Linked DNA regions of Caenorhabditis elegans. The protein of the gene in region 1 purifies or fractionates together with the protein of each later gene. This does not show direct contact. Each region holds a gene or a part of one and is shown on either strand. Other genes may lie near its edges.

The links.
Region 2: the proteins of let-630 (region 1) and ptp-3 fractionate together in Caenorhabditis elegans (co-fractionation; one large-scale study listed by BioGRID). This does not show direct contact.

Annotation. Positions count from the first base shown.
Region 1 is NC_003279.8:5,162,004-5,166,998, reverse strand, and holds let-630 (Small ribosomal subunit protein mS39), read left to right. Parts: upstream 1-2,114; 5' UTR 2,115-2,117; coding exon 2,118-2,216; intron 2,217-2,261; coding exon 2,262-2,399; intron 2,400-2,443; coding exon 2,444-3,739; intron 3,740-3,787; coding exon 3,788-3,916; intron 3,917-3,968; coding exon 3,969-4,301; 3' UTR 4,302-4,397; downstream 4,398-4,995. Other genes in the region: Condensin-2 complex subunit hcp-6, read right to left, coding at 1-576, 625-798, 856-1,314, 1,365-1,609, 1,659-1,842; ppw-2 (Piwi domain-containing protein), read left to right, coding at 4,795-4,983.
Region 2 is NC_003280.10:10,973,853-10,978,862, reverse strand, and holds the start of ptp-3 (protein-tyrosine-phosphatase), read right to left. Parts: upstream 3,295-5,010; coding exon 3,027-3,294; intron 2,678-3,026; coding exon 2,536-2,677; intron 2,491-2,535; coding exon 2,250-2,490; intron 1,847-2,249; coding exon 1,633-1,846; intron 1,486-1,632; exon of another isoform or gene 1,336-1,485; intron 406-1,335; exon of another isoform or gene 197-405; intron 1-196. UniProt on the Caenorhabditis elegans protein: Has a role in early neural and epidermal development; neuroblast movements during closure of the gastrulation cleft and epidermal morphogenesis. Vab-1 and ptp-3 may function redundantly within the same sets of neuronal precursors.

The DNA.
Region 1 (4,995 bases):
ATGCGATTGAGACTGAAGGATTTTCGTCAAACTATTGGCTCCGTGAAGTCGCATAGCTGCAGCTTTATCCAAACAAGCCATGTAAACGATGTTATACAGAACAGACATTGCATCCATTCGACCAACTTCTTTAACTTCCTTCGCCTTCTTTTCTTTCTTCTTCTCTTCTTTCTTTTTAGAAACATTCTCCTCGTTATCGCCATCATTCTCTTCGTCTGATTTATCCGACTGTTCTTCCTCTTTGACTGCAACATCATCCTGCTCGTTTTCTTCCTCCTCTTCTTCATCTTCCCCTTCCTCCTCCTCATCCTCTTCTTCATTCTGCTCTGCGTCCAAGTTTGGAATAGCTCCTGGGTCAGGTGCGGTGAAGTCAAAACTGCTGATGAGAATACTCGAGAGCTCTGTAGACAAGGATTTTACTCCGGCTCCGCGGCCTTTGAACAAGACATTCATGAACTGGACAAAATCATAGGTATATGTGTATGGAAGAGCTTCGAGAATCTTGTGGATAAACGTGGCGATATTTGTTCGAAACTCGGCTAGATCTGGACATTGTGAATACACCATCACAGTAACCTAAAATTTAAAAATAAGTTAATAAAATATTTCGAAGAAACTGCTCACTGTCTGAATATACTTCAACTCTCTTGCTTCGGGATTTCTTGAAATTCGTGATAGAATTAAATTGACATGTAATTCACCAGATCTCTTTCTCTCCGTTGAAATCTTTGAAGATTTATTGCTTTCATCTGGATATGGCATCAGCGCAAGGCGAGGGCGAATAAGTCTTCCGTAAGCCTAAATTTGTACTAACCTTATTAATTTGTTTTGTAATTTTTTTAATTTTAATCCCACCACTTCTGCTCTTGTTTTATACTTGCTTTCTACTAAAGAATGCACAAATGCACAGTATCGATCCGTAAATCGCTCCAACGATCGGAACTCGTGGACTGAATTCGCTCGAATCGCTCTTCCTGCGGTTCGATTGTCAAGATCTAAACGGCCGATGTCTTCCACGACTTCTAGTGTGCTCATGAGTGTTGGTGTATCAATACTGAAGGTGTTGCTATGCAGAAAAGCAAATAACTGGGTTGTGAGATGATGCAGGTATCGCTCAGCCGAATCGACAGCAATTCGAGGGGGACCAATTATAGGATCTGCTGCTCCCGTTGTTACAGTCATTTCTCCATCCACATTTGTTTCGTCTGACTTTCCACCCGCTTTCTTTTTCTTTGCTCCACTTGATTTTTTTGTAACGACAGTCTCTCCTATCCTAACTGTATGACAACAGTTTCGAATAATTTTCAGACATTGCTGAAAAAATAACATTGATTATATGACATGTAATAAACCCGTATACTTACATTGTATAAACCAATTTGATAAAGATCTGAGATTGCTCCAGGCAATGAGCACATAGCAATATAACTACTGGCAGCAGAAACTCCTTTATCAACATCCTCTTCCGAACTGTCAGATCTCTGTCCGTTTTCGAGAAAATACCAGACGAATAGATTAAACTTCATTGTCGCCACATCACTTTCTTCAAAAATATTCCGAATATCGCATTTCTTTCCCGAGATTACAACGCTTTCGGCAAGTTTCTTTACTGAAAATAACAATTTTGAATAGTGAAGCTAACAAAATTCTCAACATACGCTCTTTCAGAACTCCACTCAGATCTTGCTCGAAAAAAGTCAGGTCAACAGAATTTGTGAATTCTTCATAATCTTCATAATTGCATTCTGCTGAAGAAGTTGCAACGGCATCGTCAATATCGTTGAGAGACCGGAGATTTGACTCAAGAAACTCCGATAAATCTTTTTCGTTGATATTCGACATTGAATCTAAAATAAAAAATGAATCATTTCAATAAGGGTAATTTAAAACGTTAAAAATAAATATTTAGGAAAAAAAATTAGGATCTCTGTTTGAATTTACCGCGTTGAGATTTTTAGGCCACGGCCATTGTGTTTCTAGGCCATGGTGCAAACACGGCGCGCAATACTGCGGACAAAACATTTTAACACCCGATTTTTTTTTTTGGTTCTTACTTAGGCTTTTTACGTTTTGAGTGTTTTTCATCTTTCTTTGCTTAACTTAATATTTTTTAGGCAATGATCGGCCGCATGGGACTTGGCAGAGTTATAACTCGCAGTTTATCGTCGGTTGAGCCTGCATTATCTCAAAAATTGACAATACAGCCAGCAATCGAGGTTGACTATTTTTAAAAATTCATACTTGAACTTCTATATTTCCAGAGATCTCCAACAGATTTGTTAAATGCCTTGTCAGAAACCGTTGGCCCGGACACAACTGCTCCACATTTTGCCTACATTGACGATCCAATTACCATTCCTTCCACGCAGTCAACGAAAAAGACCTATTTTATGGCGAAGGTAAAATTTTTGCCGGAATATTAGAATAAGTTTGATAATTTTAGGAGTTTGGCAAAAGAGCTGCACGAGAACTAGCTACAGAATGGCCAACCCTCTTCGCTTTTGACAGAGATCAACCTCAGCTCCCGGTTTTCCGTCCTCGACATCTAGCAGATCCCCTTCAAGTTGAACCGACAGAGAATAACCTGCTTAAAATGATTTCAAGTCGAGAAGTAAAAGACTCGTGTATTTTGTATGAACGCATGCGATCAGAGAACGTTGACGTTAGCGAGAAAGTCCAGCTGGAACTATTCCGTCTTGTAACCTATTACAATTCGTCAAACGTACCTTTCGCAGAATGGGAGGAGTTTGTTGGAATGCGCAATTTTGGAGAAGATTCTACATCCTCATGGAAATCGGGTGCAGTCGCTGATCTTCTTTTCGAAACTCTCCCAAAAACTGATGAAACCGTTTCTATAATGATTGCTGGTCTATGCAAGTTTTCTGATCATTCTAGTTTGGAAAGAGCTAGAGAATTGTACAAGGAGCATCGAGCTGCAAAAGGAAAAGTTTACCGAGAAGCGTTCAATGGATTAATTGGCGCTTCAAGCTACAGTGTCGGGAAGAAATTGGTAGCTGAAATGATTTCCCTCAGAATGACACCCGATATTTTCACGTTCAATGCATTACTGTCGTCTGCTGCAAAAGCTGGAAAGTTTGAAGATCGTGTGAAGGCGTTCACTGAAATTATTGGAGAAATGAAAGAGATTGGAGTTGAACCAGCACTGTCATCTTTTCATTTAATTATCAAAAACATCATAGATTTTAAATTATTGGATAATGAAAAACGAGAGAGTGACGAGCAAAAGAAGACCTATAATCACCAGCTCACCGTGGCTATATCTTGGCTCAATGAAATTCAGAATAGCCTTACTGGAAAAACTCTCAAGCCGATTACATCCACTTGTAATCTTTTCTTCGTCGAAGCAATGGGAATCCATTACAGAGCTGCAAATGAGAACCTCGCAGAAAATCTTGTTTCAATTTATGAATCCAAAGCAAACGAAGTAAAGATGCCAGCATTCACAATTGAATCAATGTTCTATAATAGACAATTACAATTGGCTGTGGAACAAAGTGCTTCACTGAACAGAATTTATGATTTGTACACCACCATGGTACCACGACTTGTTGGAGTCAACAATTATCTGTCATCACTAGTTTTTCGAAAACTCGCTGCATCCTCCGATCGTCATTGGCCACTGTTACGGAGAGTAATCATCGACGGTATTGCAGCTGGACAGATGAATGGAGTTATTGGAGAAGAAATGCGCAAACAGTTGTGTAATGTACAACTACATGTAAGTTTTATTTCCAAATATCTTGTGTTTTTTACAAGTTTTTTTCAGACATTGGGAACTAGTGAACGGGAGCAATTCACATCTCTTGTCCAAAAATTGGTTGCAGTTTGGGTTGAGTTCAGCCAATTCACAGAAGAGAGAATGAGAAGGCTCCAAAGGAAACTGTCGCCTAGCCAGGTTTTAATATTATTTTTCAAACCATAAGTCGTATATTTCTCAAATTTTGCAGATCTCAGAATGTGCTTTGCTCTTGACCAGAATCGGAGAACAGCAGAAAGCTTACGAACTGTTAGATCTACTGCTTGATGAAACTGCAAGCAGTGGGGACGAAGCGACTGTTTATCCACGTGGACATGCTAGGCCATGGGCAATGGCAGAATTGTTCGAAGATGCTCTTAGAAAACGTGATACATATGCTGCAGCGACTTGCCTGCAAATTATGTCGTTGACCGCCAACCGTGCAAAACTTGAGCCTCTCGCCAATCGCATTTTCGAGAAATGTAATGTGAATCAAGAGCAAGTTCGAATTATTCAAGGATTCATTCGTCTTCGCCCACAATAATTTTATTTCGTTTAGCCTAGGATAGTTGTAAAGTTATTTTGTTTTTGTTTTGTTTTGCTTTCAAAATGTCTCCCATAATAAAACTTATTTAAAAATTTGTTCAACATGTTTTTTTTTCAAAGGTCGTTCAATTTGAAATTAAAGGCGCATCGAGTTTTCATCTGAGTGGGTCTCGCAACGCTGTCTAAGGTATACGGTAGCTATTCGCACTACTTCAAAAAATGTTACCTACTGTCCCAAAATATTCATTTCCGTGCACGATTTTTCAGTATTTCTTGTTGAAATCTTCATATTTTTCAAGTATCTAACAAAAACGTGTTTCAATAGTTCTTTTTTCAAGTTATAAGTTATAAGATTTAGAGAATGCATGTATCCCGAAAAGTTGCATAAACTTATTCAATTTTTTTCCAACACGTTATTCGTAAATTTTAAGATATTGTTCATAATGCAATCGTTCTCCGATTTCAGGTAGTATTCACTAACAACATTCACAATGCCTGCTACACCGGTTCCACCGGTAACAATGCCACCAGTGCCACCAGTTGGTTTTCCACCGGTCACCGCTCCGCCAGGACTTCATCCACCACCACCAGTCCCACCGGTTCCGGTTCCGACTCTTCCTGTCACCTCGGAACACAAAACTGCTCACGATGCGTGTATTAAGCGACTCGAACAGCTTGAGGTGAGATCGGTT
Region 2 (5,010 bases), on another chromosome or scaffold:
GGAGATTTTAGAACTTAAAAAATGGATGAAGGAAAAATGGACAATAATATTAACTTGCAACTTTTAACTTTCAGAAGTGTAAGGCTGTCAGAGGAATTATGGTAAATTCTGGAGAACATTTTGAAAATTTCTCATCTCACGAACAATCTAGATGTGAGCCATAGAAATCTAGAAATGATAGAGAAAGTCCAAGTAATGATAATGATCAAAAGACAAGACATCTCTCAACACAAAAGACGACAACACCGGGGAAGAAGAATCATCGAAATTTGTGGCCGGGTGTCATAAAAATGAGAAATTGCTGGTCATCGGGTGTCGTCGTATGCCTGCACACATAAAGCACACATGTCGGGAAGGCGCCTAGATGACGACCGACATCTTCCAGATGACCTCCAATTACTAGTGATGGCTCACAGTTTGAGCACAGAAAGATGGAAGCTAAATGCTCGATAGATATCCGGATGGCGGTTTTTGGACGATTTTATTGACATTTGGAATTTATTTTATGATTGCCAGATCTAGAGAGGAGCTTGGAGGGTAAAAAACTATGAAGAGATTTTTTTATTTAAAGGTGTAGCAATCTGTCAAAGAAAAATTTCAACGCAAAATTTTCCAAAATTTACACTTTTGTTTTGAAAGGTTGGCACTTTTCCAAAATTTTGACTAAAAATGCTTAGAAGCTCAAACTATTTCAGAGTGTTGGCAGTGTTGTAGACTCAAACAAAAGTGTTTCAAAATGTATAGAATAATTTTTCGAATTTAAAAATTTGGTTGAAATGGCTGGAATTTGAAATTTTAGAGCTGTATCTTACAAAAAAAAGTCTCTGGAACTTTAAAAATTTAACTCGATTTGAAAATCTACCTCACTATGTATTATTGAGTCAGAAAACGGTTATATTTCCAAAAATAGATCAGAAGCAATGTTTTAGAAAAAATCACCTATTCTAAAGCTCAAAGCTTTAAAAAAATAAGGTCATGCTGAAACAAAAGCATTCCGCTCAAATGAGCACCACCGATATAAATGCTCATCAGGGAAAAATAGAAACTATGAAAAGTTATATTAAAAATACTTCAACTAGCAGGCCTAAAATCTAGAATAAAATTCGCTCACCGAATCAAACATAAATCAGTGAATCACACCTATTCTCATCAATTTCTCTCTGTTTCGCCCTTCCCACTCTATGTCATAAAAATGAAAATCACGAAGAGAACAAGTGACCGAATAAAAGTGACCAAGAGGCGCAGATATCAAGCCACATGCTCAAACAAATGCAAATGTGATCGCAACAAGAAGAGGAGGAGGAATGGACAACCTATTTTAATGCAAATTTGAACAGTTTTTGGCTGGGGCGCCTATTTTAAATTTAGTTAGGATGAGTTGACCCCTCTCGAAGTGCGAAATTTCAATGAATAACTGAACAAGTTAGGCATTCCAGTTTTTCAACAATTGAATTTGGATCATTATGTATTTCTAAAACAACTTAAACTTTTAAAATGCATTAACTGAAAAAATTTTGATTGTGTGTGAGCATATATTTTCAGACATTTTTTGGCACCGTAATTTCTGGTTTAAAATTATATAAAAAATTTTTAAAACATCCCTCCCTCAAAAAATCCCCATCCCAAACTAACCTTTAACATAAAGATTTGCGGCTTTCGAGTGAGCAACTCCTAATGTATTCCTTGCAATGCATTCGTATTTTCCCTGATCTTCTTCTCGAGCATGCTGAATCATCAGGGCTCCAGGGTTTCCGATTGTACTTACAGAGTATCTACCATCTGCACGAATGTCTAGCGGGATCAGGTCACGGAGCCAAAGGACTTTTGCTCGAGGATCTCCTCGGACCTGAAAGAATTTTTTTGAATTTGATTTTGGAATCGTTAACATTTTTAAAGTTTTTTAAAAAAATATTTTTTTATTTGTTTTTTTTAATTTGAAAACAGCCGACATAGTTTTTAGTATTTGGTTTCAGGTATATAGGGTAATTCCAGATGTGCTATGATATTTTGGTGTTGGTAACTTTTGGTATTTGTGCTATTTTTGCTATTTTAATCCCATTTTAACTCCATATTGAATTGTTCTTCTTTCAATTGTTAATTTCTTCAAGTTCATTTTTATTTCCGAAATATCATATTTTTAAAAGTTTTTAGCATTATTATTTGTTGATAAAATTTTAAAATCTTTTCATAATACATACAACGAATTTCCCATCTTAAACGCAACTATTTTAAAATTTCAAAAAACTTACCCGACAAGAGACATAAGCAGTTTTCCCCTGTTCGACCGACTTCAATGATGGATGAAGTTCAATTTGAGGGAACCCAATCGGAACTTTGTCTCGTGGGACAACGGTTAGTGATGCTTCTGCGACAACTGGATTGGCAACTCCATTATCAGCCGAGCAGGACACAACAGTCGCATTGTCATCCAGAGAGACACGTTCGAAACGGAGAGTCGATAAGCCGGTGGCCAAGGATTTTATTGATATTCTGGAAAATTTGTAACAGTTATATATTTCAATGAAGCCTTAATACCGATTATGATCTGTTATGGATTTTCCATTGACTCTCCAAATCACACTAGGCAACGGATTTCCATCTGCTCGACAGAAAAATGAGATTTTCGATTCATCGACGACGGTTGATGAGTCTGGACGGACGACTAGTCGGGCGGGGTCTGAAGATTATAAAAATAGAAACTGTAAATATAGTTCACTTGAATTCTTGCCAACAATACAACTTAGAATTGAATCCTCCGCATAAAACTGCGCTTAAATTTGAAACTGAGCTGGAATCTTAGGGAGTATTACAGCTTTATCCGGGCCTATGTGGTTGCAAAAAAAATGAATCTGAATTATTTTCCTGATTTTTTCCTGATTTTACAAGTGTCTAGGGGTAGTAAAGCTTTTTGAAACATTTTTTTAATAAAAAATGTTTTCCAATTTTTTTCTGAAAAAAAATTCCAAAGGTTTTTCTGTTTTCTCGAAAAACCATTATTTTTCAACCAAACCTGCACTATAACTTACACGCAAGAGCTTGAATATAACTCTGATAAGCTTCAGCATAAAGCTGATTATTTGTAAACTCTTCCTTCCGAACCAACGGAATTCCCCCGTCCTGCACATCCTGATTATCAGGTGGCTCTTCATCATTCCACCCGAAATCCTCATCCTCTTCCCCCAACTTACCGTCCTCTTTTGCCGCGACCAGTACGGTACTTAGCATTAGAAACAGAAGCAGCGACGAGCCTTTTCGGCGTGCCACATTTCGTAAGTGACGCGCTATCCGATTCATACTGTTGTTCTTGTTTCTGAATTGGATCATGATGTTTTTCTGATTAGAGAGATACACCCATTTTTGTTGGAAAATTTTTTAAAGTTTTTTCTTGAATTAAATTAATTTTATTTAATTTTTAATTTTTATTCGCGCTGCTTTCTGATCACAGAAGACTTTGTTGGGTATGAGGATTTAGAGGTGAGGATCTGAAATTTTAAATGAAAATTGTTAAGGGAACAGAAAGAAAAGAGCAGAAGTGACATCAACTACATAATCAAAGTTCAGGAAGCACAAGAGCATGAAACAAAAAGATATGAAAGGCCGATTAAAAAGCCACCACAAAAATTTTCCAAGCGACCTGGAAAGCCGCGCAAATGGGTTGAAGAACAAGAGGAAGAGAGAGAAAAGAAAAAAGTGGTGTGGAGAAGAAGGGGTCCCAGGGATTTATTTGGGAAATGGAAAATGTTGCTTTTATTAATGACCATTGCGCAAGGGCAGGTGAGGGGGTCATTTGGAAGGAGCTGGGGGCTTGGCGCGGGGGCGAGAGATTTGGAGAAAGGAGATGATAAATCTAATTGAGAAATCAAGGGAACACAATTATGAAATAGAGGGGTTTACAAAAATTTTTTCTTTATTCGGAAATAGCTCAGACTTTTATCATTTTGCATAACCTTTTCACAACCATTTTCATGTATATTTTTAGATTTTAAAAATTCAGACAATATATAGCAAGTTGGAGAAGCCTAGTTGAATTGGGATTTTTTCAATTTAATTCCTTATCATAGTTCATGGCCAAAATGTCATATTTTAACACAATTTTTTTTGGTTTTTTTTTTTTGAATTAAGAAAAGTAATACTACGATATTAGTTATTTTAGCACCATATAAATCAAAGTTCAAATTCGAAGTTCTAAAAATGCAAACAAAAAATTTTTTGAATATGTGAATTCTAAGACATTTTTGTAAGCGCTTTGTTTCAAGTCCCGTTAAAATCACCCCTGCCACATTCGCTTCTCTCAAAGCTTAAACTTTGAACAACTCTGCAAGAAAATAGAGAGTGTATAGAAGAAGAAGAGACGCAGAGCAAAAACATGCAAATGGCGGGACAAGACTAATCGAGGAATAAGGGGAGCAAAATGAAACAATTTTACTTCTATTACTATTACTCTTCTAGATGACCCCCATGTAATGAATGAATTCACACCAAGAGGTTGGAGTTGGAAAACTTTGATAGTTTATTTTGAGAAAAGGGGGAGAACTTTCTGTAGAGCAGGTGTTAAATTATAGTTTAATTAGTTTTCAGTGAACAGGTAATGTTCACAATGAGTCAACAGATTAAGGGGGTTTTGATACATCAAAATATGTTTTTAGAGATCAAAATGAGATTTTTTTTTTGAGAAAAATTAGACAAACCAATTTGTGAGTTAGTTCTTGAACATCAGCCGGATTCTGTAAAAGGTTCGGAAAATTTCAACTCAAATTCATCTTGCCACAATCTAGATTCTCTCAAGATCAAGCTCAAGCGTAATTGAGTACAAAATCTATTTTATAGAAAGCTGCATAGAAAGCTGCATTGTATTGGATAATCGAAGTCATTTTGTACTGTAAAATTAGGTTCAATCTGGGCAAACTTTAGCAACACTTGAAAAAAATGGGAAACCTTGACACCTTGAAAACTGGTCTTTAATAAAATGGAAATAATAAGTACCTTAAATACTGATGAGTTCAAGCTAAT